Linked DNA regions of Lepisosteus oculatus. The protein of the gene in region 2 interacts with the protein of the main gene of each other region in a pairwise test. Links are inferred from orthologs where the notes say so. Each region holds a gene or a part of one and is shown on either strand. Other genes may lie near its edges.

What was found.
Region 1: the proteins of tnika (region 2) and agtpbp1 interact in a two-hybrid assay, tested with the Homo sapiens proteins (2 studies listed by BioGRID and IntAct). The link is inferred for Lepisosteus oculatus from reciprocal best matches to the Homo sapiens genes TNIK and AGTPBP1.
Region 3: the proteins of tnika (region 2) and srgap3 interact in a two-hybrid assay, tested with the Homo sapiens proteins (2 studies listed by BioGRID and IntAct). The link is inferred for Lepisosteus oculatus from reciprocal best matches to the Homo sapiens genes TNIK and SRGAP3.
Region 4: the proteins of tnika (region 2) and akap9 interact in a two-hybrid assay, tested with the Homo sapiens proteins (2 studies listed by BioGRID and IntAct). The link is inferred for Lepisosteus oculatus from reciprocal best matches to the Homo sapiens genes TNIK and AKAP9.

What each region holds. Positions count from the first base shown.
Region 1 is NC_090698.1:61,943,274-61,950,846, reverse strand, and holds the start of agtpbp1 (cytosolic carboxypeptidase 1), read left to right. Parts: upstream 1-4,247; 5' UTR 4,248-4,360; intron 4,361-6,956; 5' UTR 6,957-6,989; coding exon 6,990-7,021; intron 7,022-7,573. Other genes in the region: naa35 (N-alpha-acetyltransferase 35, NatC auxiliary subunit), read right to left, coding at 300-333, 820-940. UniProt on the Homo sapiens protein: Metallocarboxypeptidase that mediates protein deglutamylation of tubulin and non-tubulin target proteins.
Region 2 is NC_090708.1:14,164,206-14,172,900, forward strand, and holds the start of tnika (TRAF2 and NCK-interacting protein kinase), read right to left. Parts: upstream 3,245-8,695; 5' UTR 3,185-3,244; coding exon 3,162-3,184; intron 2,970-3,161; coding exon 2,903-2,969; intron 1-2,902. UniProt on the Homo sapiens protein: Serine/threonine kinase that acts as an essential activator of the Wnt signaling pathway. Recruited to promoters of Wnt target genes and required to activate their expression. May act by phosphorylating TCF4/TCF7L2.
Region 3 is NC_090699.1:52,657,218-52,665,340, forward strand, and holds the start of srgap3 (SLIT-ROBO Rho GTPase-activating protein 3), read left to right. Parts: upstream 1-4,545; 5' UTR 4,546-5,054; coding exon 5,055-5,142; intron 5,143-8,123. UniProt on the Homo sapiens protein: GTPase-activating protein for RAC1 and perhaps Cdc42, but not for RhoA small GTPase. May attenuate RAC1 signaling in neurons.
Region 4 is NC_090705.1:5,253,702-5,262,057, forward strand, and holds the start of akap9 (A-kinase anchor protein 9), read right to left. Parts: upstream 3,220-8,356; 5' UTR 3,028-3,219; coding exon 2,980-3,027; intron 1-2,979. UniProt on the Homo sapiens protein: Scaffolding protein that assembles several protein kinases and phosphatases on the centrosome and Golgi apparatus. Required to maintain the integrity of the Golgi apparatus. Required for microtubule nucleation at the cis-side of the Golgi apparatus.

The DNA.
Region 1 (7,573 bases), on a different chromosome or scaffold from region 2:
GAATGTCAAACCAGCAGCCATCAGCTTAGCAACACATTTCTCTATTAACTCTGTTATTACTCAGTTAACAGCATGCACCTGAAAAAAGGAAATGCATACTGAAAGAACCTCAAAGCTCAATCCTGCAACTCAGCCCTCAGTATGGAAAAAACATAACATATTGCTGGAAAGTAATTACTCTTCAAATTCTGCATTTTTGGAAAATTAGATGTACATTCAACATTCAAGCATCTGCCAGAACAAGGGATGTGATAAACCAGGTGCACAAGAAGCCATGCAGGTCAGTTCTTTGTACTCACAGTTTGTCATGGAGCAGTTCTCCAAGCTTCAGTTCTGCATAAAAAAAAAAACATACACAAATGGGAAGGGATCTCAGGATTCATACTTCTTGACCTCCCTACTTAGAAACAACTGGACTTTCTGCCACACAACAAATAACTTGATTTAAAAGGCAGTTTTAAAATCTGGTTGTAAAAACTGGAAAACACAATGAAGTCTATGCCTTTTCAAGGAAAATGATTTACCCTAAATAAGATGCTGTACATCAAGATTCCCTAAAATTTGCTATGGTTAAACATGACATGCAACATACAGTATATAGAACAAGTCAGATTTTGAACTGGCAAATCTATTTTAGCTTCACTATAAGACACTGTAATATAAGCAAACTTGCAAGGATGAGGGGCAGGGGGAACAGGTGGCTCCAGGAAAGAAGCACACAACACTGTAATAAAAAAACTACTTTATATACATTTTTTTTTACTGATTATGCAATCAATAATATATTTTTTAAAAAATTAGGCCGCAGTTATGCTTTACCTTTACAAGCCCCTTTGAAGTCCAGGGTGATATCCACCCAGTTTGCGTTATTCTTCATCTTCTCTGGAATTCCAAGCCCCCAGCCAGCATCATCATCCTCAACAGATGACTTCATTACCATGACAACAGCTTCAGACAGATTAACAAACAGATGCCTTAATTGGGATCTGCTCCAACAAAGCTCTTTCACAGCTTCACCTTTTTTTTTTAAATTATAAGAAAGACAGGCTGGCTAATTCATAAAAGTACTGTATAGTAAACCAGAGCCAAGAAGTATTTTTGTCTTATTTTGAATGAATTACCAGGAAGAACAAAAAAAAATCCTTTCAGTAGATGAACATGAAAAGAACTGTCGGAGATAAAATAAGAATTGAAAGCACTGTGGGGGTGTAAAAGGAACACCCTGATCCCAAATATTATTAAATACATACAACCAGCAGCAGTATGATATTTGAAACCTTTTTTTCCCCCAGAACGTTAAACAAAAGAATTCTGGAACAAAAAAGCTAAATCATCAGTTACACTGTCTGACAATAAAGGGTATCTATTTAAATGTTACTTAGAAAAAGATTACTTTTTTAACTTATGCAAGAAAAGTGATTCAATGAAGTGTATGTTTATTTAAATGTGTAGGTTCAGAATCTCTGTTAATCTCTATCTGCATTATTTACCTATAAAGAAAACAACTTTATGAAAAAGTTAAAATCCATATACAAGTAACAGGTTTATTCCATGATGAAAAAAAGAAGAAAACACAGCCAAAATGTTGCGTTTTCATTCTTCTCTTTTCAGCATGGAATAAACCTATTATTCCTTTACAGCCTACTCATGCTGATGCAGCTACCCACCTGAACTAATAATCCATTTACTATACATACACATACGTCATTATCCTGTAGCCTACTTATTGCTCCAGCACCTGGTCTAATGGATAACTTGTGTAGGTGGTTGCACCCGGATGGAGGTTGTAAGCAACTATTGTAGATAAACATGTACACTAAGGAACAGGTAAAGGTGACACCTGAAGAAGGCTCCAAAGCCGAAACACTGTGTCTCTTTTCTTTTCACCATGGAATAAACCTTCATCTGTTCCTTTGCAGCCTACACATGCTGACACAGCTACCTATTTGTACACTAATGTACACTGTCATTATGGTACCATTAATGACATACTGTATGCACATACTTGGATATACTGTAGCTTTGCAAACAGGTCCCCAGCCTCAATTTTCAACAAAATTAATTTCCATATTCCTGTTGCAAAACAGGAAATAATTTTGTAATGTGAAGCTGTGATAAACCGGCATAAAGTTAGTGATAGCCTTGCTTTAAAACTTTTACACAATGTGTCAGAATATCAACTGTTATTCACCTGCAGTTATCCACAAAGGAAAGAACATTACTCGGACAAATCTCAGGTAAAGGCTAGAGTACCTAATCTAGATATTCATTTCTGTCCATACAATTTTATTACAGAGACCATTAGACACAAAAATGGGAGAGATGCAAGAAACATACACTGCAAAAATTAACCAGTACAATTCTGTTAAGAAAAAGCACAGAGCCGCTGAATGTAGAAAACCATTTCTACAATAAAAAGACTTAATGAGTTGTATGAATACGGATATTAAGGAAAAAATTGGTAAAAAAACACGTGACATATTTGATCAACACAAATGTCAACAGAGATCTGAAACTGCAAATAAGGCCTCATTATGTTAATTGTGTACATTAGATGGCATGGGTTTTAGACATGCCAATAGTTTCCTTTCTTGAGACTCTAAGAGACTTTACAGTTTTCAGAGGATTACCAGATTGTGTCAAGAATTCAGCGTGTGGTGTGATAAATACATCATTTCATTTTTGCATCTAATAATTGTTGAAAAAGTAAATTATTATAGATTTCGGGGACAAAAATCTATTTCTTAAGCTGTATGTCAGAGCTTTCAATTGACAAAATATATAGAACTTAGTAAGGCCTTCATGCAGAATACACAAGTCAAGCAATCACAGAAAGGCGATTCAATGTACTCTCTAGCACAAAGGGAATTTTTTTTTTAGTTCTTCTGACCAGATATACTGTATTTTGCTTTATTCTTGGGGCAATTAAACTAAATCTCCGTTTTTACAGTATTAGGGAATTATAATGGAAACAAACAGATTTATTTCCTGAATCCCTTGAAAATAAATAGGCCCTAACACATCACCTGTACATTTTGATACAGCGCATAACAGAACACAGTACGGCTGACTAATAGTACAAGTGCAGTTTTCAGTTTAGAATAACATACAACATAGCTGACTACTGATTTCAACAGACTAAAGAGGTGCAAACATAATGACTGGCATCTTTATCTCACATCAGTAAGACCACTTGCTAGAATTAACAAGCGGTCAGCAAACACAGAAAAATATAATTGTCAAAAATAGTATTTTCAGTAAAACGTCTCAGTTACAAGGTGCCATACGTATTTCTGGATGTTTCCAGTCAGTATTAACCACTGCGCTTCTGTACCTGTCTGACTTCAGTCAAACGCAACAAAAAATTTCAATATTGAATATTTTTGCTTGTATAGGTAACCTTGTCTCTAAAAAAACGATCTAAACTATAAAAGTCGTAATGTCTGTTAATATGCCCTCATAAAACACAAAGGACACGTATTATGACAAGGAGTTTATAAGAACACATCATGCATTTTTGCTCTTATGTGAACAAAATCGAAAATGACTTGCATATGTACGTACAAAAATCAAAGTACATCAGAAAAAGGTTGGCCACTTAAAAAGTTCGTTCATTAATTTCTTTTATATCTAATTTGCACAGGTGTCTGCAACAACATACTTAAGCTTTAGGTACAATATATCACTGACGAAATAAAATATATCCACAAAATCACACTAAACCAAGCCAAAAAGTGAACCTTAAGTAAGACATTCATTTTAATTATATTTAAAATCGCAACTTTGTAATATATTTTAACATCATATTCAAACAGAAGCACGATTTCTGTTACAGTAAGGCCTGAGATAATTTTAATAGTTTTAATTCTATACTGAAGGATTTTTTAAGTCCGTACTGAAACATAAAAAAACATTACAAAGCGCAGCAAACTGCATTACGTAATTACAAATGCACTAACGCCTCCAGTTCTATCATACCTGATTAAAAGCTGATTAAAACGTTGTCTGAAAGAATTCAAATAAAAGGCCATACAAACTGTTTCCTTGGCATGAAACACCGAATTGCATTCTGGGAAATGTTGTACCCATACCAATCCCAAATGAACAACGACAGCTAATTGGTGCTGATTATAAACTTCAGTCCCCATAAGCACGTACTCTGCAACGTCATTTTTCCTCGCCAAAAAATCGTTCAAAACTACCAATCCCTTAGTCCTCTGCATTCTCGCGAGATTTAACAAGTATTGACAGCAATGGTTCTGGGAATCGGATGCTGTTTGTATCAAAACATTTGGGCGTCTCTTAGCTCGTACTGAAGAGCTGACTTCCCCGTATGGGACATCGCTTGCCTCAGCGATCGGTTTGTATTGTTTAAATGCCCTTAAAATATGAATTTGTCTCTGGAGTGCAAGCTATTTTGAAAGAGCATGTTGGCATTCAGCAGGTGCAATAGAATGTGTGCTATTCCAGTTTTGTCTCAAACACTACAGCACTAGCAGCAGAAGGCTGACAGTCGTTGCAGGTGTCAGGCCCGCTTGCAGGGAAGCTGCACACAGCATGATGTTGCATTAACTCGCTGCAAGTTGTTATAGTTACGGGGTGAACATATATAGCATGCCACAGACTGTTGCTCACTAATTACATGGCATGTCAGGTCACGTCTGCCACATGTACTGTACATGCATAAGATGTGTATTATATATTTGATTTTGTGCAATCATGTATTGTAAGAAAATTAAGGACGATGAAGAGCTATTTCCTATATATGGACGATTTATTGATTGTTCGATGTATTTTATATTGGCTTTCGTAGCTGCCATGACACCTGTCGTATGAGATACTTTTATTTTTCTTCCATTTTAGACTGCTAAATGAGTCGCTTCATTTTCAAGTTTGCAATAATGGGAACATTGTGTTAATGCGATAAATGTAGATACATGTTTTAACTTGGGCAATTAAGAAAAGGCATGTGATAGAACCACAATTAAGTTTAAATTCAAGCTAATAAACACCAAAATTCCATATAAGGATTTATCATTCTTGTATAAGTGTGGGAATCTCCATAAGGTGAACTAATCTGCTTCTTAACTGTAAGACTTTCCTTCTTTGCGTTTTAAATTTTCATGTAGAACACTACAGATCCAAATTCACAATGTTTCGTGAACTTGAACAATGGCGTTGATCAGATTGGCATTTATTAAATTATCCCCGCTTTGTTAAGTGTTCTTTTGATATGACTCGGTGAAGATGATTGCATTTGCTATTCAGGACGTTTCTGAAATTTGGAACTTCGTTTTTTCTTAATTTAAATACCTTTGGCATTGACAATGTACAGTATTACTAGTTAACATCAGAGATTTCGGCGAACTTTTGTTAAATCTTAAAGACAGTTGTAACCTCCACCAAATAAAAATGCATTTATGTATCATCCACATATATTTGTAGGTATGAGGTTAATTTCACGCTGAAAATTAGTAAGAAAAAGCTCCATGTTGTTGAGAAAAGCTTTGAATGCATTCATAACGTCTTTCTCCATTTTCTTTTAATTGTAAGTATTGTAAGTAGGTTGTGAATAGAGTTTAAGCCAGTTATAATACAGGATTTATGGATGTACCCAACATTGAGAACTTTATTAAATTTCTAAATCTCCAGTTCAGCTGTTACCTAGTATTTTGATTCCAAACTAAAGCATGTTCTTTCATGCTTTTTATTCGTTATCTCTTATTATTGTCAATGTACTGCAACTTGGTAAAAGAAAGAGCCCTGGTGATTCAAGGTCAGTTCAATAGCTACAGTATGTGTTGAACACATCAGCTGCAGATTCCTCACAGCTTGTTTTATCAAGCACCAGCCTTCAATATATTTGTTGAAGAGGAGGTTCAGAAATAGAAGTGCACAGCACAAATTTTAAGTTGTTACAATAGCCTGACACTTTTCAGATCCCCAGGAGAGTTACCGTTGTGTGCATTACGCTAACATATAACTTTTTTAACCATACACAGTACTTTAAAAGAGGGCTTTAAAAGTACATCTTTATGGTGGTATTATTTATAATATTGACTTGTTATTATTTGATACATGTTGGGGCAGCAGAGTGTAGTGGATAGGATTGCTACCTTTCAGCTCTGGAGCCCTGGGTTCAGTTCCAGACCTGAGGTGCCATTGGCATGGAGCTTGTATGTAGTCTTTGAGTTTGTGTGGTGATCTACTTTCAGTCCCATAGTCCAAAGACATTGTAAGGTTAATTGGTTTCTGGGAACACTGGCCCTTGAGTGTGTGCCCTGCGATGGACTAGCCCAGTCCAGGGTGTATCCTGCCTTATGCCTGTTGTTTGCTGGATCACGTATGACCCTGTATTGGCTAAAGCAATAAGAAAATGAATGGAAAGACATAATGAATGGCTGCTGCCCAGTTAAGAGTTATTTTGGTATTATCTGTTCTTCTATTGTGATTTCTGGCCACTCAAGTTTTTGGTTTGATCTCAGACTACACAGAACGTTCAAGGTATCCACAAATTTGGAAGAACTTAATCATAATTAAGTCAAAATTATTTGCTTTTGAGCAAGTGTTTGTAAATGTAGCTGCAAATTTGCTCAGCATAGTAGTTGAGCAAGTACTCAGCAGTCAGTTGACCTCAGCAATGATCTAAACCTTTTATGCTTTTTGCAAAGATGCTATAAGATTCAAACATTTCTTGTATCTTCACAGATTTTTTTGTATTATGATTGTTTCACCAGCATGGCAGTATAATCCTAAATAAAAAATACACATACCTGCTTTTGAGTTAGGAAGTTAGAAAAATGACTTTATCAGCACTGTCCATTATACTACTGCCCAGTAATATACTATTTTTTATGAAGAAGGCTCCACGGCCGAAACGTTGTGTTCTCTTTCTTCTTTTTTTTCAGCATGGAATAAACCTATTACTTGTATTTTTTATTATTATTGATTTGCAGGGCCTTTAAAATGATGAAGTGAAACGAAGCAAAATGAATAAGCCAAAAATGACAACCGATAAAGGGTAAGTTGTGATTACTCTTTCATTATAGGAGTGATTGTTGGAGATAAAAAAACATTAGTGAAAATAAACAAAGAACATAGTTATGTTTTCTGAAAAAAAAAAGATTTATGTGACAGAGGTGTGGATCAAATATTTCTTTTTAACCAGGTCAGTGATTGAATGTTTCTTTGTACAGGAATGCTTGGTTGAGCCTTACAGTATGTGGTCTGTATTTTTCTTGCCGGAATAATTGCTTTGAGGTGATTACTTTTCTAAGACACTATAAAATACTTGTTATTATAAAGAAGACAACATTGACCAGCAAATGAGTTGATAAGCTTTCTGCAGCAGTATTTGTGTCTGAAACACAACACAGGAATCATTCAATCACTCCAACTTTTATATACATACTGTACTCCTGCATACACTGTAGCTGTCAACCTTGTCTGCACAAAAATATGCAAAACAGAGACAACAGCGTTCTTCCATTGTATGTGATACTAAATGTGGTGGAGTGTCATCCACTGAAATTGAGCCTTTTGATAGTGTTGGGTTAAATATGTCCCAATTATA
Region 2 (8,695 bases):
CACTTGCAGAGACAAAATCTCCAGAATAATTGAAATCTCCAGAATAATGGCAACTCCTACTTGCCCTACTACAGTGCATTCTGTTAACTCTTTCTTCCACAATCCAGCCTTCTCAGTTGTTTTAGATTTATGGATATCTAGCAAGAAAAGGTTAGACCTGTGTTCTACACATAATAGGAACATTGACGTCTAGCGCTCCATCCTCAAAGCCACATCTATCAGTCCAGTATATGTGCAGTATTATGATATTGGGGAATATTTACACGGAGAAACAAATAAGTGGAACCACAACAATAGGAACAAGAAATGAATGACTTTTACTTTGTCAAACTTTCCCTCCTTAAAGCATTTTTTACTGTTTAATTTGGCAAATACTCTATAAATCAGCTAAAAAAGCATGAAATCCATACCACAGTGTTAAAGTACAAGAAAATCATCTTACACCCTTAATAGGCTTGGGTATGAAATCTCATGGGAGAGACATATGAACAGCTAGCCATCTGTATAATTCAAAGACAGTTTTTCATATCACAGCTAATTGGCTAATTACAACTCTTAATAGCGTGCTTCATTTTCCATAAAAGGCAAGACTTGTATTTCCAATGATATATTATTTGGATTGCGTTTCTGAAAAGGCCTCCAAGTATCAGAGTAAAGTCATTAATGGTTATCAGTGTTATCTGTTTTTACAATGTATCCCTGGTCTATTTTGCCGTGGAGCAAAGTTTTATTGAACCCTACCAGTTACACCTCCCTATTGCTGTGGGAATATAAAACATATACTGTTCATGGTATAGGTGCAGTGCCAATAGACAATAACTGAGTGCCATTTGCAGTGAAGCTATAACAGATAAGAAGCAAAAAAATCTACAACATTTGTACAAGTGCACACAGGCAGCTATTGCATCCAGCCATTATCTCCTGTAGAGCATCTTAATTATCCTAAACAACTCAACACACATCACTGGTCCTGTTTTTTGTTTTTATTTTAAAAAAGGTTTCCTACATTTCCCATACCAAAGTGAGTTCAGACCTGTAGCACTATTACAAATGAAGACTTTGTGAAACAAATATTCTGCAGCAATCAAAAGTGAATTTTTTGCTTGTGCAGAGGTATCACATATGTACAGTAGCTCACATGGTGTAGAAATACATTGTTACATACAGTACTACACACAGGAGGACTGCCTTCTTGAATAACAGAAAACACACTTATGCAAGTTACAGTCAATTACATCTTCATTCGTGTATATGTAGGACACGTGACTGCTAAATGATTTGCCTATTATAAATAACTATTCTGTTGCCTGGATTTTAGGCTGTATGGTTCAAGTAGAACTCAACATTCAAAATGTAGTCCATCTCTGCAAAGCTGCTAATAGACATTCCAATACCAAAATACATAACATTGTTGAAACTCTACATTCCGGGTAATCTTAAATATATGTATTTGATTATGAACCATGAAATTAAGGGAAACGTCTAAATCATAAATGGAAAAAATATGTTTTCAGTGAGTAAGCATTGTAGGTAATACGGATGAATCTATCAGCATTTTACAGAGAATTAAAAAACTCGTAAAAATTAAAATGGGAGGCAATATCCCACAATATGTTATATATCTCAAAGATATGTCCCATGTCTTTATGTGCCCTTAAATTAAATTAACAGAAATGCTGCAGGATTAACATTGTTAAGATGATCTGTTTTAGCACTGCTTATAATGATGATATTATGCATAAATTAACTTAAGGCACTAACGAATCAAAACCACATTAAAGCAGGTAAGGTTACATCGCATAATAACTCATTTTGAAAATGAGCACTCCACAGGATTTAGTTGGACACGTTCAACTTGACACAAATGGTGACAATAAGGTAACAAATACACCTTGCGATAGGCAAAAACAGAAGCTAGCAGCAAAGCCCACAGCGTTACCATACAGTATATTAATAGAAAAATTGAGACAAAAGAATCGCCACCAAACATCTAGCATTGTGCACAAACCGAGCCATATTCAGTTATCATTTTCGCTCTAATGCTGGCAGCATGAAGCTGGGTATTAAACTGAAAAACGCTCCATACCGTGAAATGCTAAAAACATCGTACAGTACATGAAGATATACTGTATATGTTTGCTTGGCAAACAAATATGGTATATTAGGTGATCCGCTGTAAAACTGAGAGGCTCTAAACTACATCTCATGCCGCGATTATTGGGTGGTAAACATTTTATATTTTCCCTTCGTAAAGGCATTATAATTTGACATCACCACAAATCACAATTGTGACATTATAAAAAAAGGTGGGATTTTCTTGTCTTTTATTAGCCGTGGTTTTCTGTTAAATGTTCTGCAGTGTTACAGCAAATAAAAACCCCGGATTACATAAGAATTTTGGATTTTTAGTCTATGTCCACTCTGTCTAGAATTCAGAAAATTGTTTTAAAAAGGATTTTCACAACTCTCCGTGATCCGCTTGAATGTACTGCACTTGACTGATTTTTTTTTGTAATGTCTGTCAAATAGGGCTATATAGGGAGAAAACACAAGCACAGCATTTCTGGGGTGTGTGTTTCTTTATGTGGACGAGTACAATCCAGCAGCCTGAAAACCCTATTGTATAAAAGGTACTCAGCAGCATTTAAATATTAATTCAGCGAGAAATATGTTTCATTTTACTCCAAGCTCGTACTACATTAAAAGCAAAGGTGCAATTGTGATAAATTGTGAGGACATCGTCGCCCGTTACATCAGTTCAAGTTGGTGTCATCTCTGGCTGTGCGTATTATTCACAAGAGCTTGATCAGGTGCAAAGCGTTCTCATCAGCCCCATTTTCTTCGCCGTCTCGATAGCAAAAAATTCACTGACAATTAACATCCAATACTTATACAAACTTACCCTCAAAGCTGAAAGGTCTATTTCATCCAAGCTTCTGGCTGGAGAATCGCTCGCCATGTTTATTTCACTAATGAAATTAAACAAGAAAGATAAATGAAAGGAGACAAAATCCTTTCTGTGCGGTGTCCTGCTAAGTTTGTGGCAAACGCAAGGTCCCGACCGTTTTCCTTAAAAAAATAAAAAATGTAAAATAAAAATCCCTGCTGATATCAGGAAATACGGATAATATGTACAAGCAGCACAGTGCTAGAGGTGATACCTTGATGTATGTAATGAGGACATGCTTAGCACCGTATACACGGCGTCCACACGAACCGTAAGCTACAACAAAACAGAGCGAACGCACAGATAGCAGATCTGCAAAATACTGTCAATCAGAGGCTTCCCGGGAGTGGTCAGAGAGAAGGGGCGGTCGGATTGTTTCCAGCCGCCCATTCTTTCCTTCTGAGCGAGTATTTTCAAAGCAGGGCACTGTTTTAACAAGCAAGATTTTCTGATAACAGGTAACTGCAGAGCTGCAAGCATACAATAACGATACAGTCCGGGATGCTTTTAAATATCATTAACTGATCCGTCAGGGTCTAACTCCTTTCTATATGCCGCTGATGTGCTAACTAAAAGACTGAATTGAGCGCTAAAATATTTCAGTTGGACTGTAAACCGCACCGCCTTAATGAAACGGTTCTTGCATTCAAACATAGTCTTAAATTGAAAGCAAAAACTCCACTTACCTTACCTGTCTTATTTAAGCAATTAGGTATCAACTGTGCCATTCATTTCCAATCCTAATACAATAAATTGTATATGGCCAATAAAGTGATCTTACATACGACCTGACGCATATACTTTTCACCACGAGCTCATTGGAGCCACACTTAAAGCACTTTTCATTGAAACGTTGAGTAGATAGGCTTGTTGATTGTTTGAGAAATGTTGCTCCTTGGGATACGAAAATACTGACCACAAGTCATTTGATTTAATTAAAACACTGGATCCTCAGTGGTTCGTGTGACTTTACTATGCATTTGTATAATTAGGCATTCAAAAAAGCAACAGTTTATGCAGTGTAAAAACCATGAAAGATGTGATCAGAACCCTCTTGGAAGTTATGAAGTTGTCCTGGTTGCTACAGTATGTACATGATTGAAAGCCACCAATCTGTGAGAGACGTTGCCTGGAGAATGAGATATATCAGCATATTAGTCCAGACAAATCAGGAAACTGGCTGTGTGAGGGACAGACCACATCATGGAAAGCAGAGGGTGATTGCTCTGTGCAATACGTTTCAGACTGCACTGAATACACTTTTAGAAATTCTAGGAATAAATAACCCGAGCATCAGCAGCATGACTCTTATTGTCTGTCTTACAGTAGCATGTTAATGGTAATAGCCAAGTCCTGTGGTTCTTAAAACATCTGGGGTGGAAGAGATGGAGTGCTGGAATGTTTTATTAACTAAGGAAAGCCATTTTCATATCCTTGACAGACCTGATGGAAGGACTTGAGAATTACACAGACTGTTGGTCTTTTCAATACTTATAATACTGAATAATTCTTTACCTTTATATAGCACATTTCTGGATACTCCACTCAAAGAGCTTTACAGGTAATCCCTTCCACTACAATGTGTAGCACACACCTTGATAATGCAATGTGTGCAGTGTGCAAGTACACTCGCCACACATAAGTGGGGTGGAGAAGTTTAAGCCAACTGTTCAAGCCGACAGCGACCAATCAACCTTTACTAGGTGACTACAAGCCCACAGCAGTCTGTCCAGAGGCTGATCAGGTCTGCATGTCAACAGATTGTGTCAAAACTCAAACCCAGTACTCACTTCATAATTTTATTTTCACATTGATGGGGTTTTGTGTTACATGTCAAACACATATCATGATTCTTTTATAGTATTTTTGTTCATATTCTATTATTTTAGAATTGAATATGAATATTTTAGAGTTGAGATTCATGCTTAAAATATCGAATTACTGTACATCCTTTAGACCTGAGTGTAGTGTTTCTTTTACGTGTCGGTATATGATTATTATTGTTGTTAGTTAGCTATAAAGAGATCTACTGAACCTTTAATGTGTTTCATTTTTTTTCTCCCTGTATCTTTGCAGCCTGTGTACTGTTATGCTCAATAAGTTTAGAATGCATGCTTTGTCTTGTTTTTTCATTGAACTTGAATTTCAAGCAATGCTAGGCACACACATTTGTGGAAGCTGGCTTGTTTCCCCGAATGTCTCACTTTGTGGCTGTCTGTGCTTCTGCTTGTTTGTATTCCTTAAAAATGTTGAGGGTGTGTACCTCTCAGTAAAACCTATTGTGTTAAAAGCATTCTCGCACCCTTGTAAATGTTTATCATAGTGAATTTATCACTTTTATTTTGACTCTTGTGCTGTGGTTATAGACATTATACTGTATATTCTTTGCACTCTCAGTATGGTTTCTTATGACTTTACTGTGCCATTGTACTTTAAAACACTGGTCTAAGAGAAAAAACATCCGTAAAAAGGTTTATTATTGTATGTTAAAATATTACCATGTCCCAGTCTAGTAAATTTCAGAAAAGACATGACAAAATTATAGCATATAGTGAAAAGAAAATCATGATAAAGTCACCATGCTTTAGTTTTATAGGTGAATCTTCACAGTGGTTAATGTATTTCCTGTCTTGCTGCCGTGTGACAAGTGTTGATTTTGAAAGACAACTGTTATCATTGTGCTTATGCAAAAAGAACATTTAAAAACGCCTTAAATAGCGCTTTTCAGTTCACTATTGAAATAGCCATGACAAACGTTCTTTAAGTGCTGTTCTTTTCCAACTCGAAATGCAATACAAAATGACATTTAAAGGTAATACAATTATTATTCTATATATTCTTGTACTACATTTGAACTCTCTCATGACAAAAATGATATTATAAAAACAGTACTATGTTGAATATTACCAAAGATACTATTGAAAATACCATTACTGGTTTGTACTTGTGCAGATATGGATGATCTCATTAATTAAACAAAATGAATATTGCAAACCACTCCAGAAGTTTTGATGGTACACTAGTGTTAATACATGATTGAAAAGGCCTATGCCACAAAATGGCTGAAATCAGAAAAGCATTCTCTAAGCCTTTTTTGCCATTCAGATCCCATGAAGAAATACATTATCCAGTCAGTCTGAAACAAAAGAAACAGTGTTCATTTGAAATTTTACACTTCTGCATCATCCTGGAATTTCTGTTTCTTACTTTAGATTTCTTTTTCTGCCTGCCGCTGCATAAAAAGTAGCATTTGCCCAGGAGCCTTGCTATGCTACAATAAGTTAAATAATTGTTGTTTTTAAAAAGTGCATCGAGGGAGATCATTCCTCAAACTATTTCACAAAACAGACCCATCGTTCAGCAGCGCTTGTACATTTTATCTTTTAAAACATCCCATTGTTTCATCATCTAGCTGCAGCAGACTGGCTAGGTACAACTTTAGTTTCCTTTCCCTCTTTAGCAATGGAATTGACCACTTGGAAATATTGTGCCCAAATGGACTCCTGTTCAAAACTGGATTTTTAAAGTGGCAAACATATGTGTTCTCCTTTATGTCCCATATCTTTGTGCTTCCACTGAAAACTTTTTTTTTACTGAGGCATATTTTTGGTATGATCATTGAAGTGATTTGAATGGACTAGTTATAAGCCATCTGTTTCTGTACTCAGGTTCCCCTCTTTTCTCTTTCCTGCTTTACCAGTTATGTCAATAAAAAGAAATGTGTATCCTGCCCAGCTGCTATACACACTCAAGATGATCTGAGGTATTTAAAAGACACCTATCCCACACGAATTTCAGGCACCAGGTAAGGGTGCCTTTTAAATAAATCCAAAGATTTATTACATTCAAACAACCATTATCTTCTTGTAGGTTGCCACAGCCGAAACATTGCCACGCTCTCTCGTTACTTTCAGTGTGGAGCTGACTTTTACAGATGGCACCGTCTGCTAGTACTGTACAGTATGTACAGTATACATTAAGTATTTGTAGCATTTTTACCCATGTGATTAGCTGAGGCTATAGTGATATTTCATTTTAATAGGCCGACACAGATATTCCATTTCAGCAATTGGTAAGCAGTTTTTTGCTCTAATAGATTTGTTTTAAGTGAGTTTATGAATGTCACACTATTATTGTTGCAGGGTAAGTACCTTGCCCCAAAAGCCAAGAAGAGGAAGTAAGGGAAAGAAAAAGAATTGACTCAAACATTTGCCGGTTCTGAGGACACAGGCCTGCGGCCCTAGACTGGATTAAATGACTCACAATTGAACTGGGGTAGAGATCACCCTTGAATGCCATATTACACCACCAAGTTAGTTTCTCAGAAAAAAAAACAAATGAATCAGCAAAATGTAAATTGCTTTTAGGATTGTTTTCCTAGAAAATCACATTTTCTAGTCTGTTCCATGTATTTTAATTCATAGACTGTTTTGGGATCTGTCTCATTTTCCATTCCTTCTTGGAATACAATTTGAGTTTTCTTCACCTGGATGAATGCCACCTTGTTACTAAACTACAGTAAACAAACATATTGCTAAGATCTCCATGATTTTATCCTGTAGTTCCAGGTTTAGCACCCAAGAATTTGTTGCATGATTTTAAACCTTTCCTCTATGTCACCACATGTACTGAATCGAAATTTCCCCCAAAAAATATTTTTTGAATAATTACACATTACTGAATAATGGAATAACATGGACATAATGTTTAGCTTTCATGAATGTTTATTTCCTTATGAAGTGATTGCATTTTCTACTGGGTTTTGAGACAGGCCCATTTAGTATGTGCATTGACAAATGTGTTTACTGTTTTAGATAGAAAACTGCTTTTCTACAATTTTGATTTATTGCGTAGGTTTTCCTCACTCTTTAGTAACCTCCTGTTTTACAGATTTGGAGTCACCAGATATTTGTCTGTTTATAACCCTGCACTGTAACCCTTTAGTTAATAAACTCACCTCACGGCTACAGCATTCATGTCAGCAGCACCAGAATGAGGACCAATAAGACCTCGTTTGATCCAAACTTGACAGAATCATTCCCCTGTAATAGCATAGGTGAGAAGGGTGCTGAGGATCTCTGACAACCCAGCAAGTTCTCAGGCAACTGACACATCACGGAAAGGAGCTGCTTTTCCATAGTAAGACAAGGACACCCTAGATACTGTAGTTTCAGCTTACAAAACCCCTGTAGCACCTACAGTAGCAAGCTCAGGAAATCCCAGTCACAGTTGTTTAAAGACCTCAAAGTCAAATCAGCAATATATGGACTACACAGTTTAACCAGTTCTCTGAAGTGCCTATAAAGTTGAGCCACTTAAACACCTCAACTACTCCCCTTAATCATGAAAGCAAACCAAGATTCTAAAACTGGAAACTGCACACTGACAGCTTCCATATCTTGAGCTGCATACCAGGTTATAAATAGTCAATGTTAGATTTTTAGTAGTCACCAAGGCCTTTTCAGAAAGGCTTTGGTTCTCTTCACTAAATGACTGTGTGATGGAAGGTATCTAATTTGTTCTTCTAATCACCACTCCTGATCATCATTTCTGTCAATCAACGCATCACAAACACAGTCTGCCAGAATACTCAGTCAGCCTTCAAAGAAATGGTCAATGGCTATGCCATGGAAGCACAACACAGGACAAGTAAAAGAGGTGACTGGCCAATCATCATGGTCATTTTTGTAAGCTGAATAATGGTATCCCTCTGTCTTCCCACTGTAAATACCCCATCTTCCATGGCAT
Region 3 (8,123 bases), on a different chromosome or scaffold from region 2:
GAAGGGTGTGGTACATTTTTCAGTTAATAACTCACTGTGTACTGTATGTCACAGATATACTGTAAGGATGGCTTGCTCATTTCTTAAGGCAGGAGAACATTTCAATTTCTGAAAACTAACATATATATTTACAGGTTTTAGAGGATAACTCTCCAGATTTAAGAAAATCTAAAAAAAACATATTTTTATAACTTCAAACACTACACTGGACACATAGAGTGCATTTTCTCTACTTCACAATGTTGAATTTGGGCCCTATATACAGTATGAGGAGATAGCATTAAGAGCATTATCAATTCACTGCAAGAGTTTTCTACCTTTGTTAATATAGGTATGTTCCTTTTAGAAGGGGAGGGTATTTACCTTTAATATGCACTGACAATTTTTTTTTATTGTTTTTTTACCTATAAACAGTATTGGGAAAAGTAGACAATTACAAGTTACATGTATACATGATGATCGGTTTAAATTAATAAGACATTCAGGGATTTGTTCAGGGAAATTTGTTTTAAAATGTATGTATTAATTTGCATGATAAAGCAATGCCTCCCTCAAGTAACCTCTAATTGTAATGCTTTATACTGTACATATCTTGCCCAACACAATCTGTAAATAATTGTAGCTATCATAAATCTGTGAAGTGTATCTATCAGCAGGGATATCCTTTTTTTCCCCTTTAGTTTTTCTAACCACATTTGCTCAAACATGTTCCTTGTTGACATGGTCATGTTATGGCTAGCATCACTACCAGAAAGAACAATAAATAAAGCCACCCAGGATTCTGGGTGAACATGAACAGTGATTCTGGGATTTCTTGTCAAGGTGTTTTGTTTTAATGTTTGTAATGGTTTCACTGTTCATATCTGCCTAGGACAATATTATATTTTTGCCTTAGAAATGTTCCTGCAAAAGAACAATGCCACCCCGATGACTTTTCTTGATTTTTTATATATTTAGCTTGGCTTTGTTAATGTTGCTTTTGCATCATTTCTTCTGTTCCAGCCATTCCAAATTAACATTCTTAGGCAGTCGAGCATTATAATAAGACTAAATGCATCCTTATAAATAATATAAATACTAAATGAATTGAGTCCGGACAAAACACTAATCTTAGAGTGTGTGGATTGGGTTTGGATTTTAGAACTCTATACTGGCAGCTGATTTAAAGTTTTAGTCTCTGCTGCACTTGGAAATCTGCTTGATGGAAAATAGATACATTTATGCTGTGCACACAGACCTTAAAATTCACATCTGAGTTCCTGGAGGGCTGATCAGTCACAATGTGTGTACAATCTCCAGACTTGTTAATGCAAATGTTCAGATGAGCACAGGCAGATGATTTTTTTTTCTTGCTTAGTTACTTTAAGCAAACATTACATCTGCTTCCAGGGATGCAGAGGGGGCCACTGTCATGGAAGTAATGTGTATTAGCATTACCGGAGTGGTTAGGTTGCTATGGTAACTATATGGAGAATGTTTACTGTGCTCTTAAAGAGCATAATTCCACTGGAGAATTCTTACTGACCAATAGTTTTTAATGTATCTAGACTTAACTGAATAATATTGTTTACAGTTTCAAAAATCACAGTTTTTTCTCTATGTTTCTTTTTCTTCTTCTTTTTCACAGCCTTAGTCCCAGACTGTCCTGGGGTCAGCTGCTTTGGTTGCTCCTCTCCACTTGTCTCTGTCGAGCACATCTTACTCACTGACTTCACATACCTCCATATATTTTCTCACACAATCTATCCATCTCTTTCTAGGCCTGCCTCTTCTTCTGTTACCTTCCACCTCAAATTCCATTACCCTCTTTGTTACTTCCTCAACGTCCCTCGTCATGATATGTCCATACCACCGTAACCTCGCCTCTCGCATCTTCTCAACCACATCCACCACCCCACATTGTCTGCGGATTTCTTCATTTCTGATCTTATCCTTCATTGAAATCTGTAGAATCCATCTCAACATCCTTATTTCAGTTCTTCTCATCAGGTTCTCTTCCCTCTTTCCAACTGCCAAGCATTCAGCTCCATATAGTAGTACAGGTCTAATCACAGTCTTGTACATTTTGCACTTTAACTTTCTAGGAATTTTCCTGTCACAGATTATTCCAGTTATTTCTCTCTACTCGTTCCATCCAGCTTTCACTCTTTGTTTTACTGCCTCCAGTGTTTCTCCTCCCTTTACCAGTTTTGATCCAAGGTATTTAAAGCCATCAACTTGTTGGCTTTATGTACAGTATGTTTTATGTTTTATGCATAAACATATAGTTTTTTCTCTATGTTTATACATTACAAATTACAGTAGGTATTTACCGTATATCTGTATGATGAACTTACTGTACCTAGCACTTTTCAACAAATTCAATAAGCCCCAAAGTTACCACTGAGATTGCACTTGATTTGCTCTTAAAACAGACACATAATGGTTTGCTGAAGATCATCACTGTTGAGATTTAATTCCTTTAAATAATAATATAGTTATATATACTTTTAATCATTCCTTGATAATGAGGTCTAAAAAATTAATAAAACTAATGAAAATCTAAAACTCCAAAAACATCATACCTTAAGATAGTAAATTAGATGACAAGTAGGAAATTCCTTTTTTTTTATTTAGTTCAACATCACTACAGCTAGTATATACACTTTAGAATGGTATGGACACCTTTCTGTGAAATTCTCTTTTCATCACTTAGATCTTTGAAGCTACATTACTTGGACAAAATATTAGGAGCTCTCATCTAGCCTATGGAACATGCACCTTAATCCTGAAAAATGAAGGTCACCCTGCTAGGGGAATGGGATAAAATAGTGTGGCAAGCTTTTGTTGTTTGTAGAGGACCAAATGATATTCTGTAATATTCCCTACGTTTTGGTCCTTGAGTGAACATTACACATGCTGGCAGGAGGAAGGTCAGAGTAGTTTGGATCTATCATCTTTAATCCCTAGACAGACATTGGAAAGTGAGCTTCATTTGAGGAGCACTTTTTCAGGCCTATAAGTAAAGACCTGCAGGAGCAGCTTTTAAAAAAATGTCTGTCTCAGCCAGGGTGCTGAAGCTGTAGTTTTGGATATTGCTCTCTGCTGACTTCTTGCAGTTTGCAGTTCAAGTTTTTTTTTACAAATACATGAAAAAAAATAGTCTCTGCAGGGCAAAGGTGTTTTACAGAGAGTTCTGGAATACAGCGATTGTGTCATCAAGCTCTGCATAGCAGACATTTTCTTTTTTAATATTTCTCCCCTTCAACAAAAGGTGTTTTTGGCTGAACAGCAATACACACAATTCAAATCAAATGTAACATTTTTCTGAACCGTAATTATTAACACTGTGGTACTTGTAAAAATTAACACTCTAGTAATTTATAAGATTAAACCATAACTTTCACTACTGCTATGTAGTGTACGGTGCCACCAACTGAACAATTGAAAACAAAATCTCTTTATTATGGATAGATGACTTGTTGTTTGCCAAAGGATGCAACTTACAGAACAGGATGAAACAATAGTCCCACCTCACTGGGCTTGAAAAACAGGTCATGTAATGACTTTCTTAAGATGCCTCCATCTTGAATGTCACACAGTATCTCAAAGACATTTCATACTCCTGTTGACAGAGTTCTGTCATTAACACCTCTTTCTTCCTGCTAGCCTTTTAAATACAATTGCATTGTTCCAAGTCTTTTTTTAATGTATAACCCCAATGAACTCTTGATGTGAAAATTGATGTACAGACCTCATACTGTACACAAGCTTTTTTTATTACTTTTTGCTTGCAGGCTGGAATTAAGACTCAGCATCAATATAATGCTTTTAGAGTCGTTCCAAACAGAATTACATGTGAACAAAGTGAGAAATGGAAGTCTGAAATAACTCAATGTAGCATTAAGCTTGCTGTGACTCGGATAATTTGATTTTTCTTTGGGTTCTAACCCTTCACAATAAAGGAAATTAATAGATACAAAAAATAAGAGTTACAGTTACTATGCTTTGATTATTAGTGACTATTATGTTCTGTGCTTATGAATGAAAAATCTTAAGACACATCTTAATATTGTCAAATAAAATGTTCTTGCCTAAACGGGTCATTAGATTTGAGCCTAGTAACCAGACCGCACTCAACCCAAAGTCTTGATGATTTCTGCATTAGTTACAAGAAGGTTTTTAGATAACACCAACATAAATTCCTCAATACTTTTCATGTATTAAAGTAACAATACACGCACTAACCGTCCAATACACGGCATCTCTTTAGGATTTTTTTTCTCTTATATTCACGCTGAATAATGATTGAATGAAAAAAGGGCAGAACTGCTCTCATCTATTAACTCTTTACAAAATGGAAGTTATTGTTCTTTATTTATTCTGTGCTTTTCACCTTTCAACATTTTTCACTTGAATTATATATTTTAGAAATAGTTTTTTTCTATATTGCAGAGCATATCCTTGTTCCCCTGAGACTACAATGACTCTGTGATCACAAAAATAAAAAATAGAGGAGAAAAAAAGATGGGAGGAGTCTGGTGACGTCTGCTTCAATTCACCCTGCAGCAAAAAATCTTCTGTGTGCACAGACTTATTCAAATGAAGCAAGGCGATTGTTTTGCGCACTTACACAGTTCGTTTGAGTCTGTACTTCAAGAAAATGAACCAATAATGGAAGGACATATAAAACTGGATTTTTCGCAACCCGACTCTGTTTTGGGTTGATATAATCCACACGGCTTTCTCCCGGTTTGCAGTTAAGGTTTTTGGATGTCACGTTTATCACAAGAAAGGAGGAGTCGTTGTTTTTTTCATTGTAGCTTGGTGGTGCTTTACGTTTGAGAATACAGACTGTTAAAATCTTCAACACAGGTGAGCAGTTGTGAACGTCTTTAAAGTTTTCACTTGAAGCACCCTGTTTTGCAAACAAGAGTCTGTCTTTCGAGGGGTGCAGAACACAGCAAGGTTTTGCGCTTCTCGGGGGTGTTAACTGAAAACAGGACAATCTCAATACTGTGAAGCTGAATTTTTCCAACTGAAGTCGACCGAGCCAGGACATCGTAGGGCATCGTATGCTTCATACTTCCAGAACCATGTCTTCTCAAAACAAATTCAAGAAGGACAAGGAGATCACAACGGAATACGAAACACAAGTGAAAGGTCGGTATTTTTCTAAAACATTATTTGACGGACATAGTAATTCTCATGTTGTATCTTTGCATTGCAACTTTCCCATTCACTGTTTGTTTATTATTTCAATATTAAAATTGGACTCTAGTGTCATTCCCTTTCTGGAAAGCCTAATAAAAAAAACTTGCCGGTGGATATGAAACGCACATCTGCCGTTGGTGTGACTTTGCGCTGCATTGCAGCGGAGAGCAGTAAAACAAGGTTGGCTAGAGAGTCATTCCTATTGAGACACGTCCTTGTATCATTTTGACAGTTTCATGTTATCTGAAAGGTTGAATATTTTGGTCGATGGGCCTCCTTCATGTATTCTGTGTCTTGATTTATGTTGACACTGCCATTGGGTTACAAGGTGAATATCGCTCGTGATCTTGCGTAATATTTTTAGGCAGTTGTTACTGTATATTCCAGGTTGTATTAGATAACTGGCTTTAAATCACTTCTTGAATAACTATATTATCGTGCATGTCATATGATAGACTAAGCATTTCTCTTTGAGGTCGTTCTGGATGTACATCTAAAAGAATACCATCACGTTGACCATTATTAACAGTAGTAACAATCCTTCATAATATTAATAATTAACAGTCATAATAAAGTGGCAGACATGCCCCCTCAAGTAGTGTGACGCATGCATGAGTCAGTACGTGTTTAAATTCATATTTCACAACTGGGTTTTAGGGTACTCTACGAAGTCATGGTAAATTTGGGAGTTATTTTTTCCCCTCGTATCTACTTCCGTGGAAGTGTGCTGAATGTTCGTGTTTTTCTATCATCTCCGTGAATAGCATCTCGCGGCTTTGTTGCTGGGTAGACTGATGCTTGAAATGCCGGTCCATTTCTGCGCGAGGCTCCGAAAGCAGCCAGATGGGTGGAATTGGAGGGGGAGCTCCTTCAATTGTTTGCCTTTGTTTACGCTTTAAAGCCTTTGTAGTGGCTTTCGAGAAAGGCGGAATGAAATAGAAACTAAATACCCCCCCCACCACCACCCACCCTTACACACACACACACAAACGAGTGTTAGACTAGTGGAAACGTCTTTGCACACACATAAACTCCATTGTGAAAACAACAGCATGAACAATCTTGGAACATTGACTGAAATGTACAGTAACATCTGGGATACTGGTGGTATATTGAACCACTTGGCTGATGCACCGGGCAAAGCCTTTCTAAGCATAAATGGAGAATTGCTTTTAAAATACAGATAAGGTTTAGAATATCTCACAATTGATTCCCTGATAGTGAACAGTTCTCAAAGCTGTGTTCACTTGACAATAAAGACTGCAATAAGAACTGTGTTCCATTAAGTTTAAGGGAAGGACTAGAGAGGAGAGAGTTTGTGGGTAAGAACACTTTTGAACACTGATTTCAGTAACTCATTCCAATAGAAACTCATTCCAATTACAGACTCGACTGGTATGGCATATTCAAAAGAAAGGAAAAGATAATCCAGGCCGAGCTAGAGTAATCTGTAGTCTCCTATAGTCACTTATAAAACCCACAGGACAGCATTCTTCTCGAAAGCAGGTGTCTGTCAGGAAGTCACAGACCGCTATAGAAGCCTAGCACCAGCGAGGACATCTATCACCATTGAGATTGAGAACACCATTCACTCTTGCTTTACTGCTGTCAGTGGCAGTCGACTCATGAGAAATGACAACCATGCGTAATGGGCATTGTGCACCCTAAGGGTTATTACACAGCTCGGCCTATCAACTACAGCAGTTGTCAGGTTTGGCCACGGATCTGTTATTGCGGTACCATGCACAAGGAGCCTTAGAATGTTAATTAAAGTTGTGCATATAAAAAACAAAGGACTTTAGAAGACTTCATCATTCCTTTAATAAACAGAAGTCCGGATATTTTATTTTTTCTGTATACTGTACCAAGTATATAAGTGAAAATTTTTGCTTGCAACAATTTAGACAGCATGGGCACTTATTTCTCCTAAATTTAAAAAACGAGGAACAATTTCACAACATGGTGTGCAGATGGGCAGAAATCGGAAATTATAAACAGCTTTGGAAAGTAAGCTGTTTGAGTATGTTGCCATACTTCATAGTTAGCATACTTCATACAGCTTCATACTTCTGTTTTTTAAGCAGTGATACTTGTGGTTAAAATGATTGTATTAAACATATTTCACTGTTTTTATATGTAAATAGTAGTATTTTGTCTCCCACTTCACGTAAGGAGTTAATGCAGCGATTGATTTTGAAGTGACCTTGAAAGATGCTTGTCACAGCTGTAAAAAAAAAAATCATGTTCATTTTCACTTTGTTGTATTTCAGATTAGTGCTGATATGCAACATATATGAAAGATAAAGTCATAGGTTGTATAATTTGTCTTCATTATCTAATTATCATTGCAAGGCTTCACCTACTGTATATTCTTTAGTATCTGGCTACATGTTTTGATGTATCATGCATGTTTAAAAACAATAGGCTAATTGTTTTCTCCAGGAGGACGATAAGCAGTTTATGCATCATAACAGAAGTGGGTCTTCCTATGTTTTATCAGCATTATCTGGAAGACCCATGTTGCTGTGCATCTGTTTGAAGCAGTAGTGTTTTTTATTGCAAGTGTCCCTAGAGACAGCTAACACAGAAATGGTCCCAAATCTTTTTAACCTGCTCAGCCATGAGATAGGTCCATACAGAAACTGTTTCAGAGCTCGGCAAGGTCCAGAGAACCAAAGTCTCAACTGTTTTGTTTGATTCATTCAAGTTTCATATTTTCTACTGGGAAAAAAAGCCTGAAATAATCAGTAAAGGAAGGTAGAAAGAGAAAGAAAGATGTCATAGGTTTTTATTTTCTGTGTGATAATATTATTGTAAAATGACAATATTATTTTAGTTTTTCACAAGCTGTGACAAACAATAACCTTTGGCTGTGCCCATGGATAATTTTTAATGAAAATTATTTACAATTAACCAAAAGTGGTTAAATG
Region 4 (8,356 bases), on a different chromosome or scaffold from region 2:
TCCCTGCCTTGAACACTCAATACCCTTGTTCTCCCAAATAGACATGGGATGGCCCACTTCACACTGCAACATACAGGGCTCTCTTGTGTTCAAGATAAGCTTACTGTATATATCAGTTAGACCTGCCTGAAGGTTTTGGGAAACTGGAAAAACCATTCAGGACTTTATAATCATAATAATAATTGCTTACACTTATATAGCTCTTTTCTGGACACTCCACTCAAAGCGCTTTACAGGTAATGGGGACCCCCCTCCGCCACCACCAGTGTGCAGCCCCACCTGGATGATGCGACGGCAGCCATAGTGCACCAGAACGCTCCCCACACATCAGCTATCAGTGGGGAGGAGAGCAGAGTAATGGAGCTAATTCATAGCTGGGGATTATTGGGAGGCCATGATTGGGAAGGGCCAATGGGAAATTTGGCCAGGACACAGGGGTTACACCCCTACCCTTTTCAAGAAACACCCTGGGATTTTTAATGACCAAAGAGAGTCAGGACCTCGGTTTTACGTCTCATCTGAAGGACAGCGCCTGTTAACAGTATAGTGTCCCCTGTCACTATACTGGGGCATAAGGACCCACATGGACCGCAGGGTGAGCGCCCCCTGCTGGCTCCACTAACACCTCTTCCAGCAGCAACCTTAGTTTTTTCCAGGAGGTCTCCCATCCAGGTACTGACCAGGCTCACACTGCTGAGCTTCAGTGGGGCTGTCAGTTTTAAGTTGCAGAGTGATATGGCTGCTTCGAAACAAAAATACAACAGACTCGCCTTTTATGCTAAATATTTTTACCCGAATTCGTATTTACGTGGTGGGAGATGAAAAAAATGAATGGAAAATCAAATAATGCAGGGAATTTAGCAAATTCACATCTGGTGTGACATGTGTGGTGTGGTGTGGTGTGGCGTGGCCAAGTAGATACTGAGGCTCCAGCAAATTGAGATTTTGAACAAGTTTAGGGGTGGGACGATGGTGACCTGTTTGGGGCGTAAGTATGGCAAGAATGAAGCTTCAATTCTTGCAATGAGAGGCAGAAGACTTTTCGTCCGCTATGTTCCCTGCATTTAAATATCAAATTTTATTTGATCTATTTTGTATACTGTACAGTAATGTATTGACTGTATTACTGTTTTCATAATACCTTAAGCTACATACATACACATACAAATACACCTGCAATTGGTTGCAGGGAGGGGAACAGTGGGGTCTTAGGGAGATGCTCTAGTTATACATGATTTTGGGTATACAGTAGGCACTATGTCAGGAAGCCAAAATGTCATTTACTGTATATAATCACTTCCTGAATATCAAAGTACTACCCAAAAAGGCTTTTGGTTTTAATAATAAACCCAAATTATCAGCAATGTCTTTTGTCTTGAACAGAACATGTTTCCAAAAGATACCCAAAATCGTCAAGCCTAATATAAAAGCTGCTTGCATAGCACTAAAGTATTAACAACCCTATGCGTTAGCTGGGAACTAACAGCATATAGTAAAATCACCAATAAAGTCCAGTGACACTCTGGACACATTAACACTGTAAACCTAGCAGAAGGATGTTCCCCTGCTGATGCATGGCTGTTTCACTGCGGGGCAGAGCGCAGCATAACTGGAAGGTTGTGGGTTCATACTCCTGACGAGACACTGCTGTCAGCGACTCACTAACACAACATCGGGAGAAGCAAATTGGTTTTCACAAGGATTTAGGCTCTCGGACACAACATATATCAGATGATTTCACACTGAATTTCATCTTACAAGGTGAACAGAGTGCATCCGGGTGAGGCTTTTAATAAATGAGTGAAAATGTTAGTCTCCTACTACTGATAAGAACCTTTACTACAAAGGAAATAAATTCAGGGGGAGGACCTAAAACCTACTGTATTCTCATTCGTCAGACAAAATTGTAAAGGAGACAACAATTATGAGTTTGCAAAGGCCATGCCCACAGAAACTAAAAGTGATCCCATTGAAGAGATAATATGACCAGAATGAGCCTACGTAACACTTGCACTCTTCTGCCCTGCTCATACTGTATTTTTAGGTGCCACGGGATAAGGGTCTGGTCTATTTTTAAACTGCTGTATCTTTGTCATCACCCTCACACACACATATGAACTTGGGCAGAAACATTTCACTGTTGCATGAAACCCCAGCCTTTTCAAGAGCACTGTTAATAAAATGGGCCGATATATTCTCACCTGTGCAGACTTCTGATTTCTGGAACGTTTTGCTTATTTCATTTAATAACAAGATTTCAGCTACAGTGTGTTTCGGGTGCAGCAACTTGTATTACAAACTACTGTACATATAAAAATAAAATGAACAGTAACATCAACAGTGCGGATATACATTATTACACTATTTTATCATTGATAGGTCAACGTAATTATTTATAGAAAAATATAAATGAGCGTTAAAAAAACAGTGAAAACCTAAGCACTTTGTCTTAATTATAATGTGCTAACTCACTGAATCCTGCTGATTGAAGAAACGCAGTAACCAATGTGATGTAGAGCCATTCAGTGCCGTATCTTACAGCGATGACAAGTTCAACGATGTGAAGGCATGCTTCTCACAAATCTTGTTCAGCAGGAATCTCGGGATTGTCTTTTTTTTTTAAACCGATCCAAGACAGTCCAGTCATGTCATGATCAGTCCGACACACAATCCGCGTTTTCCCCGACAGCAAGCGTACGTGAAACTTACACGCCACTTTTCAAAGCTTCACTACAACAAAGACAACCAAGGCAAAAGTGAAGCTGTCAGTCGGAGTTGCAGTGTTAAGGACAGCTGACAGATACACTGCAGCAATACGGGGCCTGAGCTGTAGCTACAGTAGATCAATGAAATAGTTACTAAATTACTGCCGGTTACACTGCGCAGTGTTACAACTGAAAACAACTAGCCGGCCTAACGACACGAAATCATTTCTGAGCACACTGTCCTCACAATAGCGCATTCCCTCAGATGTCATACCTTCGCTTTGCCGGCCTCCAGCTTCTTCTGTCTCTCTTCGTCTTCCATTACGGTCGTTCCTGGGCCCAGGAAGAGGAGATTAAGGCTTCACACAAAGTGTCAGTTAAAAGGGTCAGAGCCGGTCTAACGAACTGACCACGTACTGGCATGTAAGGCTTCTTCTGCAGCTCCTAGCAAATACACTGTGCAAAAAACGTGTAGAGGACTCTCCGTTACTGGCTCGCCTCGGCCGCCATATTCAATACCACGTAAACACAGGGACCGCTGGTGATGACGTTCCTGAAGGTGCCTGCTTGCGATTCACGCCTCCAGGAAAAAAAAAAAATAACTCGAGGAGGGGTTTAGTTTAAGGTGGCAGCAGGTAAGGAATTTGCGTTTTGTAAAAAGATGAAAATTAAAAGTTGAGATCATTCACTTGGGCGTGCGGTATGTGCTTCGGCTATATTTCGGTGAGCAGGCTTCCGAGTCGGTTAAACTTTGGTATCACTTCTAAGATGTATAAATTTGCTCTAAATATGGTCTAATCAATATTTCTGTGAACGACAGCTCTTTATTATTCTTTGTTTGATTTGGTGGTTATTTACTGTAAATAAAGTTAAATACGAAATGAAGTATTTTCAGTAACAACATTTAATTATTTTTCCTATTATACTAATGTGTTATATGATTTATTGGGAGTAAAGATGTAATGCAATGCAATACTGTGCTGTACAATGAAATGCAGTATTCTTGTATGGTGATGTTGGGCAATGTTGCAATATTATAACTTCAATGAACCGATAATTCATTAAAAAAAACATAATTCTTGGAAGCACATTTTAAATGAATAGACACCTGTGGCTGGCAAGCAGACTGCTGATGGATCAAATTACTGTCTCGATAAGGCCCTCAACTCCGTTAAAACGTCTAATTGTATTAGTATTGCAACCTCAGTTTTCAATACTTTTTTATATCTTGTGCGATTCTAATGTAGCCAAACACTTAGTATCATACCCTCCAAGCAATCACCAAGCAATATGGACAAAAAAGCTAAGACAATAAAATGCAAAGCTAAACACCTGATGCGACCTTTGTTTAAATGCACTGGGGGGACATTTCACAATTCCTGAGGTTTATACAATAAATAGACTACGTACCTGCAGGAGAAGGTGGCCTCTGTCTCCGGACCACTGGGGTTGTACAGCTGATAGTCTGGCTGATCTTTAATTCCACCCATCTTCGCTTGGACATTTTTAGGTGTCTGTAGCAAGATGCGTCTCTCTTCTTTCTGAGGGCTCTGCGGCTGTGAGGCTACAGCTCTGGGACTCCAGACCATCAGAAAGTTTAGGGCATTAATAATTGACGTGACAGGAGTACTGTGTCAGCCACCGTAACTTAAGCACATACTGTAGGTCTGAGGCCATAATGAACTTATAAGAGGAACATGTCTAATTGACATAAAATTTGCTCCACAGTACCAAGTGTGTCTTTTTTTTAAATGAAGCCACAATGGAAAAGTACTTGTATCACAATGTAAAATGTAGTACACAAATTGTGGCAAACTCAGTTTCAGTTTTGTAGGAGGGTTATTCTTGCTAATCGAGGATTTTTGGTCATGCCCTGTATTTGTAGTACTGTACATGCGTTTTAAGGTGCTTTAGTGATAAGTATACATGCTTAAGGAATTTATTCAATAAGAGGAAAAGTAATATGATCCTGAAACATAGTCGATGCTGCATTCAATTAGATTTAACGCTTTGGAAAAATATTGCACTTAAATATTTTGATCTGAACCTGTAAATCCCCTGAAAAGAAGACATAGGACTAATGACTCCTTATATACAAGAACAATCTGAATGAACAAAAGTTCTGCCGCAGACCTGATGCAGAGAAGAGGGCTCTAACTCCACTGACTGTTCTGTCTGAGAAGCAATGAATGTCAGGTTCCACTGTCCCCAGTCACACTTCATCTCAGAGAATGGCCTTTGAGCACTGTATGAGAAAGCAAACTGTTTTAAATACAATACATGAGAAAGGAATGGCTGTATCAGGTTCCCAGCTCACTGCTGTTTAGCATCCTTCCAGTCTGATGGTGAATCTGTAAGTGATATTGATCTACATCCGGTAGCAGCTGCTTCAGAAGACACAGCTCTCTGAACAGAAATAAAAAAACAGTTGTTTAATTTGTTTATTAGTCAAGATGAAAAAGCACCTTGGGCTAGAATTTCTGTCAATCTCTCAAGTTACTGAGAGATTTTCAATGAGAAAAGTTCTGTAGCAGTCATTCAATTGAAACTTTTGGTAAAGGAGTTTCTCAGCCATTTGGGATTTGGGCTACTGTACCCCTGTTGGAACCTGACATACTTCTTCGAGTGATCAAGGAATGGATGATCTTCTCAATCTCACCTTTTTCATGAAAACTGCTCATCTGTAAATCTCTCTGGAAGCCGATCAGACATTCCTACTAAACACAGCAGAAGAAAAGGCAATATAACATATCTTGAACTTTGAACTTGAACTTGAACTTTATTGCCATATGTAACCGGTACTGGTACAATGGAATTCTTACTTACAGAAAGTCTCTCGATTGTAAAACAAGTGTAAAAAACAAAACAAAGTGCAAACAGTGCATCAAGACAATGTACAAACAAACAATAGACAATGTGCAAGTAAACATGTAGACAGTTTGAATGTAAACAATACAGACGTGAAAACAATGACTGGAGATGTGCAATAGATAAGAAATCATAAAGAGGTAGATGGTGATGGTGTAGGTGTGGTCCGAGGGGGATGGCTAAATGCGTTCGCCAGTCTCACTGCTTGTGGATAGAAGCTATTGAAGAATCTAGTGGTAAGTGTCCGTATGCTCTTATATCTCTTGCCTGAGGGCAGTGGGGTGAAGAGCTCATGCCCGGGGTGGTGACTGTCCTCTGTGATGGCCAGAATTCTACCACGGCAGCGCTCCTCATAGAGCTGTTTTATCTCGGTGAGACCGCAGCCGATGATCTTCTGGGCCATATTGACCATTCTCTGCAGTGCAATTTGTAGCGACAGACTGAAAAATGACACTCAGATTTTAGTTATAAATAAACTGAGGCTGTATCAAATGCAACAAATGATACACAAAGGAGGAAGAGTGGAATGGTAGTTAACATTGAGTCTTGGGGAAACTGAGTGGGTTTTCTCAGGTCACGAAAGACATGCCAATCAGGTTAATTGGATTCTCTAAACTGCCCCTTGTATGCGAGTGTGCCCTGTGATAGACTGGTATCCCATCCAGGGTGTGGGCCTGCCCTGTGTCCTGAGCCTGCCAGCTGAGGCTCAGGATCACAACGGATCAAGTGGCCACTGCAAATGAATCAATAAGCAAAGCAGTAATTAAGAGAAGCAGCCAATATAAAATGGGTATTGTTGGCATAGTCTAATCTTAAATGCAGGGACAGCTAATGGAATTCAAGAGTGACAGCTGGATGTCATGATGAAACCAGAGAAGGAGAATAAATAAACAGCAGAGGGCTGTTAGTGCCGAAACATGAGAGTGTCTAACATTCACAGTTGTATCCATGCATTTGATGGTGTCAAAAAATAAATGGAATCTATTCAGGTGAATAATAAATACATTCCAAAATTACAATATGACTGATCTGTAAAGTAAATAATACCCTGCCATTGAAAATACTAAAGTAAATTATACCTTTCTTAATCAACTACCTCTCTGTAATGAATAATGAATTGTATAATGAATATAAAATAACAGAACAAAATGATTTGGTTGTATAGCACAGTCTTGTCTTAAAATGTGGATAGAATGTTGTCAACAGATTTCCTGTTGTCATCAGGTTGTAGGTCCTGGAGATGAAGAAATGGGGGTTTAGACAGGTGTCTTAATTAATAATAATAATTAATATTAATAATTGCTTATACTTATATAGCGGTTTTCTGGACACTCCACTCAAAGCACTTTACAGGTAATGGGGTCTCCCCTCCACCACCACCAATGTGCAGCATCCACCAAAGTCTTAACTGGTTATGCCTTTCAGGAGGATCCCCTCTTTAGCCTGACAGGGGTGCAGTGAGCAAGGAGCTTCATTTCAGACAGCATAGGCCGCAAGGCAAGATCACACCTTGGATGAAGTCTGATAGACCCCTGAGCCAGTATCTAGCTCATGAATGTGACATGGTGAAGTGACTGTGGTTAATACTATTCCTGAGATTTTTCTAAATGGGTTAGTCTTATTTTCCTTGGTTTGTTGTGGAACTGTACTATAGCTTGATATGACAGTAATCCATACACTCTAATGAAGATTTGCAGGCAGACATGTCACCTCTCTGTGCCACCAAAAACAGGTTGTGTCATTTGACTCTGTGTGACGGTGCTGTGGCATTTAATTAATTGTTCTGGAGGTACATAACAACCAGTGTTTGCTTAGTCTTTAAAAATGCCATTCTGTGCGAAGAAAGATGTCTGTGAACAATGAGGACTGTATGTCTTAGCTCTGCCCTGCAGTGACGTTTGGGGTGACAGCGAAGGGTTCTGTTCCTTCTGGCCCTGGGGAAACAGACAGCAGCGAGTTAAATGGAGCCCACCGTCCAACATGACAATAGCAGCTACATTACCAGTGTTGTTTATGGTTTAGGGGAGGTCTGTGGCCGAGCAATCCTTAGTCACCTTCGACAGAAGACCTGTACTACAATAACAGTAATTAAACTTAAATTACTGCTGTCCGTGGAGAAAGAACAATGAAAAATGTGTGCATGTGAGGCATTGGAAATATTTAAAAGTACACTTCTACTGGGCAGCATTTCGATGGCATACTGACAGAAACATTTCCTTTTTCGCACTGCTACAAATCTCCCCCTATTGTGAGGCCAATTTTCCTTCTCCTTCCTCGTGTTACGGAACAAAAAAAAACGTTTTTCGATCTTTGAAAAACATGGTGTGGGGACATGCACTCCGTCTCTTCTGGTTCATTTTCTAAATGTAATTGCAACACTTCATGTGTGCTAGAATACGTGACTCAATATTTATATGAAGGATAATATGATTAAAGCAATTATTAACATGCGCCATTTCTGCCCCGTGTCTGGGCGACCAGTTGATGCCATCTAGTGGTCACAGGTCATTGCGACTCCGTAGCGGGAATGCGATCCCTTCAGGACTGCAGAGGGCGCCAGCAAATGCGTTCAATCAGAAATAACCGCTGTTGCAGGACACTTCTCTTGCCGTGCTAGTTCTATTACAAACAGCGGAAATGACCTGTGAAAAGGGTAAGGGAAGAGGTTGACTAGAATGGTGTGCTTTTCAATGAAAGCAAGTGTTTTGTTGCGTAGCAACAGAATTGAAATGTGTAACTCAGTATAACCTTGCATACCAGTTAGCCTTGCTTGGGACAATAGT